Linked DNA regions of Caenorhabditis elegans. The protein of the gene in region 2 interacts with the protein of the main gene of each other region in a pairwise test. Each region holds a gene or a part of one and is shown on either strand. Other genes may lie near its edges.

What was found.
Region 1: the proteins of inft-2 (region 2) and Y106G6H.14 interact in a two-hybrid assay, tested with the Caenorhabditis elegans proteins (one large-scale study listed by BioGRID).

What each region holds. Positions count from the first base shown.
Region 1 is NC_003279.8:10,471,480-10,475,226, forward strand, and holds Y106G6H.14 (Osteoclast-stimulating factor 1), read right to left. Parts: upstream 1,911-3,747; 5' UTR 1,910-1,910; coding exon 1,814-1,909; intron 1,767-1,813; coding exon 1,649-1,766; intron 1,378-1,648; coding exon 1,163-1,377; intron 1,109-1,162; coding exon 974-1,108; intron 926-973; coding exon 827-925; 3' UTR 717-826; downstream 1-716. Other genes in the region: Y106G6H.13 (Reverse transcriptase domain-containing protein), read left to right, coding at 32-448; ska-1 (SKA complex subunit 1), read right to left, coding at 2,121-2,294, 2,344-2,816, 2,871-2,955; Y106G6H.16 (Dynein light chain), read left to right, coding at 3,434-3,511, 3,585-3,689, 3,739-3,747.
Region 2 is NC_003283.11:13,000,246-13,004,171, reverse strand, and holds the start of inft-2 (FH2 domain-containing protein), read right to left. Parts: upstream 1,857-3,926; 5' UTR 1,831-1,856; coding exon 1,767-1,830; intron 1,722-1,766; coding exon 1,528-1,721; intron 1,224-1,527; coding exon 1,105-1,223; intron 1,057-1,104; coding exon 944-1,056; intron 895-943; coding exon 695-894; intron 673-694; exon of another isoform or gene 586-672; intron 455-585; coding exon 1-454.

The DNA.
Region 1 (3,747 bases), on a different chromosome or scaffold from region 2:
AAATGAATAAGTATTTTGCAGCTCACTCAAGATGGCATACGTCGAGAGCTTCTACATGGATGCTAGTTTGGAGAGCGACGCCGACGTTCTTCCAGCATCGGAGAGTGATATGTTTGAGGCACAATTCATTGCCGATGTCCCACTCGACGGCGACGCGATCATTCGTATCGTTGATTCACAACTCGCTTTTGAGCAACGCAACCACGTTGTGTCGGACTATTGCACCATGAAGGCCGCGGAGCTCGAGAAGAACCCGAATCAACTGACAATGAACAGCTCAGTTATGGACAATCAGCAATATTTTGCCCCGCCAAAAAGTGAATCGTCGCAATATGCATGGAACACGAATGATGTTGTCTCTTCTCATCATCAATATGCTGCTCAGAGCCCAAACATCTACACCAACGACTATCACACCAGTGAACCATCCGATTATGCCTATATATAACTTGATGGAATGAGTAAACATTTGTATTTTGGGTTTCTGTATTTACTCGTTATTCAGCCGCAAAATTAGAGAAATCTAGACTTTCGCGACGAGACCCAGCTTATCTATTTCAAGGTGGTCGTAGAATCGTTTAATTTAAGACTTCTCAATCCCTATTCACACATTAAAAAGCAAAACTACGATACTTGAATAGCATTAGTTCTGAAATAGAAAGATTAAAAGTAAAGAAAACCTCGATTCAAACGAGTATTTGAAAAAGGAGAATAGAGGGAAAAAAAAGTTTATCACAGGTTGGGCAAAGTTTCAATAAATATCGACAAGTGTTTGAGAAATAATTACAAGATGTCAAAAGGAATAAATATTGCAAATTTAATAGTCTTAATCAGCATCCGAGTCTGACAAATATTCAGCATACTCTTCTTCATTCACACGATCCTCTTTCATTGCTTTGTCTAGAAGAGCAGCGATATCAGCATCCTGGAATTATTTTTTCTATAGAAAACTTCTATAAAAAACAATATTTACTTTTGTCACATCACTCGGCAGCTTTTGATCTTGATTCCTTACAAATGGATTGGCTGACGAAGCGAGAAGAAGTCTCACACATTCCACGTGGCCTTTGTAGGCCGCTGCATGAAGAGGCGTATCACCGAGTTTGTTCTGAAAATTTAATTTTTAGAGATTCGTTACATGTGAAAGAATATTTCAACAAACCTGAACCGAAACTGCAACTTTTGGATCCTTCAACAACGTATCCACTGCTGGCGCGTGTCCACCATGTGAAGCCCAGTAAAGTGGTGTAGCTCCGGACTTATCGAGGGAGTTGACGGATACCCGCTCTCGAAGACATTCAGCCAGCATATCCATATTTCCACGTCGAGCAGCTTCATGTAGGGGATTCGGGAGCTCTTCCACATTCTCACTGATCACTGAAAAAATAAATATTGGAATTTCTAGAAATCTCGATGAACTCGGTGCAGTTTCGAATTATAAAAGAGGAGGAACGACGGTTTTGCAAAATTGAGATGCGGTTTGATGCATGGCCATTTAAAAATGATTTTGTACTAATGAACTGACGAAAAAAGTTCAAAAACAAGTAATTTAACTAAAAACTGTAAAACCATGTGAATTAATCTACGCTTCTCATCGAACCGCGCCGCAGCTTTGCAAAACATTCCTGATTGTGCTGTAAGTATTCACCATAATTAGCTGGAACCAATCCTTTTTTGCCTCCGATGCTTGCTTGGAACCAATCTTTGTTCGGCTGCTCGTCGCTGACGTACATTAGATCTCCTTCACTGAATGTCAGCTCTTGAGCCTGAATTTATTCAATAATTGGGTTGTTTTTTTCAAATTAAAGCTTACAGATCTGGCTTGAAAATCATAAAGTGCTCGATAAACTTTCACTCGTCCTGGCTTTGGAGCTGGTGGTGGTGGAGCCATTGGTCGAGCTGATGACATTCTGATAAATTTTAAAAATGTTGAAAAATTCATATTTCTAATCAGAACAATAATATTTTTAAAGTAGAATATATTCACCAAAACAAAGGTGTAAAAATTGAAGAATAAATTTTTTTGATCATTTGAAGTAGAAATCCGTTTATTAGCTATTTGACAGAGAAATTTAATACGTTGAGACCAGTTTGAAAAATGTACAAATATCGTAAGGAATTTATGGATAATAGAAAGTCAACGGTCCGCATCGTTCTTCTCGAATTCGACGAATGTGACGAAGGCACGGAATTGCTTTGGCAAATGATGGACGAAGACGGTCTTGGAGCATTGGTCGAATGTCGGTTTCTATGAAGAATAACGTTGTTGGAAGTCTCTTTCTTGCTTTCATTTCCTGAAAAATTATAGATTTATTTTCAATAAAACAAGTAAAACAAACTTACAAGTTCTCGCCAATTGTCCAAAACCTCCCTATCGCTCCTTGTCAGCTGTTTATTAGTTTTCCCCAGGATTTTGCTCTTTTTCATCAGGAAATCATCCATTTTGCTCACTATTTCATTCATCATTTCCAGCGTTAACCGGCCTAGTTGATACTTTGGAATTGTTTTGAATTCTTCATCCGTTATCTGTGGCACAATTCTGATATCATTTTCTTTCGGTTTAGACGATAATCCTTGTTCATTCGGTTCATTGGTTTCGACAAGAGCAGATGATTCTTTACTTTGAGGTACCAATTGTGATTTCACATCGACAATCGTGGAAGCTTCAACTTTGATTCCGAGAAAATCATTCAATTGACTTTTGGTGCAGTTCATACATGTTTCTTCACAGTTGTTTTCCAATTTTTGTTGATCAAAAGCTGCATCATCTAGTAACAACTTGATATTCTTCATTGTATTCAAGAGAGGGCTGATTGCTGAAAGAAGTGATAATGAAGAATGCGAGAAGTTGTGAAGAAAAGTAAACGTACTTGTTTCAAAATTGGGAATATTTTCTCGACATATGCGGAAATTTTCATCGGTCTCTTCGGTAATCCGATCAATAAACGATTCCATTCTGAAACAGGTAATGTTTTAATTTTTAATTTTTAATATGTTATGTTTTGTAGTATTAGAGATATGTTTAATGTATCAACAATTGAAATTGAATCAACGGAAAAGAGCCAAATTCGATAAAGTCTAATTTTAGGGAAAAAGGAAGCAGTGGCCGTTTCTGCTGGATTTAAGAAATAAAGAATGCAGTAGAGCAAGAAAAAAATCTGTTCCAATTTAATTAAGAAGTTATAGCTAATTAAAAAGATAAAACAATTAAATAAATAAAGACAAGACGGCAAGGAACGATGAGTCATATTCGCGCCGTTTTAATTCAGATATACTTCGAGAGGAGTACACATCCGTGGGCGATAGAGCAGCCACAGTTCGAATTTCTAGGCCACGACCATAAAAGCGAATTTTCAAATTTAGATTTTTATCTTTGTTAGAAACGTTTTTCTACAAAATAACATCATATTTATACCTAACCCAATGAAGATAAATGGAAGAAAAAGACGAATTTGATTTATTTATTGAAAAAGCTGAAGAAGTGGTTCGTCTTTTTGAAAATGGGCAGGACGTGAGTTAATTGATGCGATAACGCGTTATAACACTGAAAAATATTCAGTTTCTCTCATCTTTTAATTTTTCAGGTTCGCAACGAAGCAGAAAAATTGCTCAAAGATGCTCTTTCTGTTGACGCAGAATGTGTTCCGTCCACATGTGTAAAGCCAGATAAAATCTGCAAAATCTTAAATGTGAGTTGTTTTTATTTCAAAAGAGATAAAAAATATATTTAATTCTCAGTATCATATA
Region 2 (3,926 bases):
CTTCTTCTGAGAGCACTTCAGTGATAACCTGAAGTGTTGTATCGTGGACAGGCGATAGAGGTCCATCATCATCAGACGAAAACGTCGAAGTGGAGAAGTTTGATTGAAAAAACGCATGGTTTCCTCCAATTTGACTTTGCGCTGGTAAATCCATTGCAGTCATCCATTTCTTCAAATTAATGTTCGAATCGATAGAATTTGGCGTTGTTGGATCCGGAGAGCTAAGTTTGCTTTCATCATCGGATGTCGAGTAATCGCAAAAAACTGCCGATTCTTCCGGAATACCATGAAAATTTCGAGAAGGCTCCCTCCTTTCCTTGTTCAATTTCCGCTGGACCACATCTGTCTGAGTTTCAGAATCTTTTGTGAGAACATTCGAAGAACAGGAGACACGAAGCCCGGAAATACTTGCACCAATGTCAGTCGATTTTTCAATCGTTTCCAGCAAACCAATCTGCAAAAAAAAGATTATAGTTTCATCTATATCAGACCCGAAGACACTATCGCGGGTATGTCTGCGTCTCTCATGTGAAGTTTACGAAAACTATGACCTCCAGTACGCATTCTTCCTCAACACTCAACATGACATGCGGGGGTATAGCTCAGTGGTAGAGCGCTCCCTTAGCATGGGAGAGGGCTGGGGTTCAATTCCCCATACCTCCATAATGTTTTACTCAATTTTCCATAAACTTACAAAGTTCTCCCATTGCTGGTCGCTAGTTTTCGATAGAATTCGCGTAAGAATCTCTATCGGTTGGCTATTGTCGTCGTGAAGCCCCATTATCCGAGCATCTCGACTTTCTGACTGTAAATACATATTTACTTCTTCGTCGATGGCTTTACTTTGAGGGGAACGATCGGCGTGAGCTGCGAGGGCGGAAAGGAATCCATATGCTGAAAGAAAACATTTTAACACCAAAATTTAACAGAAAGGCAAACTGACAATGGAGCTTTTTACGAATGGTAAAGCGCTGGAAAAACGAGCTTGTACTGCCAATCATGTAGTTGATATCAGCAATCGCCTTGAGTCGTGTCGTCTCTTCTCCAATCTCATCTCTGAAACAATATCAATCATTTCTGAAGTATTGGAGGTAATAAACTAGCCTAAACTCAGATATCATTTCCCTAATGTGAACATCAGTATCATCGAGACGGCTTGACGAAATAGAGGACACTGGAAGAGAATCAACACATCGCTCAGAGACATTAGGCTCGGGAGATATCTAAAAAGAGCACATATGTTCGGATATGAGACTGAATTAAAAGATGAGTAGCGTAAAAAAGGATTTTGTTTCAAAAAAAAATCCAAAATAGTCACAAATTCAGAAAAGCCAAAGAAGAAAAATCGAACTTTTAAAACGCCATTTTTCAAATTTGGCTAAACTTTTTTCATTCTTTTGTGATTTTCTCCGTCTTTCATTTGTGGTATTTTTTTCTGAAATTCAGGCGATTTTGGATTTTTGAAACAAAATCCTCATTCACGCTACTCCATTTTTTCAACAAAAAATAATATTGCTGAATACTAACCGAATGTGCTCCATTACTCCTTGGCTTAGCGGCTATGTTCAATTGCGAGCTTTTGTTTCCGAACACCTGTGGTTTTTGTGCGTTGCATTTCGTCTTTGATGGAACATCAGCGTGCCCGGCATTCTCTACATCGGATGGATTGCTCAGTCGGCTTGTAGGCCTGCTTCCATCGGAAAACGGCGGTGTTTTAGCCTCTGAAAAAAATAAATTCTAAATTTTCAGACGAAATCAAAACTTACTAGTTGAGCCCGGAGGCTGATTGATCCTATGGCTCTTTTTGGAGTTTTGGCGCTTCTTCACCATTCGGGAAGGTCGAAGAGGAACAGCTGAAAATGAAAATATCACGTGCGACGTTTCAGTGATGAAAGATTATGAGGGCACAACCTTATCACTGTTTTTGGCGGTATTATTGAACGGTTTAAAGAAAATTAAAAAGCAAACACGAAAGGCAACATTATTTGAACAAATTTCGAAACAAGTGTGTTTGCACTGTTGTTCCGTGAGGTAATAATTTGATAACAACGACATTCTTGACACTTTTCAACAGGATTATGTATATTTGGCATGTCATCAAACTAGTTGTAGTTGTGATAGGCTAGTAAAAGATACGTGAAAAGTTTGAGGCTGAAGAATAAACTTTTACACGCCACTTTCTCTTCGAAAATTACATGTCTTCATGATTTTCCCCTTTGAAGCATTTCTTTTCGGAAACAACGATTACTCATTGGAAGGGAACACGAGGCGACACGTTTTCCTCTTCCTGTCTAGAAAAACTCGAACACTGAAACGTGATTTACCTTTCATGGCTCGGAATAATGACGGAAATTCTTGGAAGGAAGCAATGGGAAACTATGAAAATGGATTGGAACAGATTAGTGCCACGCATGGTCTCACGGAGAAAACGTAGGATGTAGTATAATGTTTGAAAATTTAAATGTTTCTTTTAAAGAGACAAACGAGGGGGGGGGGGGCGGCAAAGTGCTTAATCCTTTTATAGAATTTCCCCCAACGATTGGCACAAACTGTGTAATTCTGAAAAGGATTAATTCATGAAATATTTAACGCCAACAAACAAACAGAAATGGGTTTGAAAAGGTGAAGCAGAAGCAAGAAATGACCTATCGATAAAACAATATAATGGGGAGAGTGGGAGGCCGCGTGGCATATGTAAAGCCGAGACGCTTTTTTTTTCTAAAATTTGAATGATCGTTTTGATCATTGCAGACCATATATTGGAAATGAAGACGAAAAGTTGAATCTCCAGCAACACAGTGAAGCGTCAGGGCTTTTTATTGCCTTTCTTTATATATGTGAAACTGAATATTGCAGCTAATAAAAAAGAAAAATAAAGAGCAAATTCCGACAATACTCACTTTCCCAGTGACATCAGACCGCAACAATTTTGTTTATAATTCCAACAAACAGTGCTCCAAGAAAAATATTTCACGTTGAGAGCACCACTACCAAGATAATTTGAATACCAAGATTTTGGAAGATTGGGTAACTAGAGAATTGAATTATGCATTTTAGTTTAGACATAGCTTTCGCTCAGATAACCACTAAAGTGGAACATAATGACAGATAAGAAGGCCTCCAATGAACTAAAGTGCTGCCGGTTTACGAAGAACAGATTCACCTAAAATGATCTTCAGATTGATGGAAAATGGGTGATAAAACTCCGAAATCGCATTGGAAAGGCGTCTGATGCCTAGTTTCGATGAGAAAGGCCCTTACAGAAAAGCGAGAAAAAAACAGAAAATTTGTGTGTCTCATCCTCTACAAAGATGAGCGCTAAAAAATAGATTCTATCGAGTAATGTATACCAGTGAAAACCAACAAACTACTGTCAAATGGAGTGATTTATTAGCGTCTAAGCAACATGTTGAAGGTCGGCCGGACCCGAAGAAGCTCGCAAATTCAAACGTGTGATGAGGGACACTGTATAACTGTCTGCGCGTCGTTTGTTCTTGCGAAAAATGGTGAAATGGTGAACAAATGGTGAATAGGAATGAGCGAACAAATAAAGAGTGGTGGCATTACCTCGGCAAAGATTTAAAAGGAACATCAAAACGCTGAACAGATCACAAGAAATGAATGATGATTGGAAAATTTGGTTTGTTTGAAAACTTAACAAAATATAATTTTAGAAAAGACTAAAACGTATTCCTCGCGGTTTTTCAAGCTCAATCGAAGATAATCTGTAGTTTTCTTTCAAATAACTATTAAAAAAGGTGTTAAATTCCGTAAATTGTTCGGAAAATCAAAAAAAATCCGATTGATGAAAACAAAAACGTCGATTTTAGATAAAAAATACAGCTGAAATGAAAAAAAATTGGCCTAAATTGAAGAAAAGGCAAAATTTTCGCGCGTGTACAAGGAAAGACGCGTGCACCGCAGCA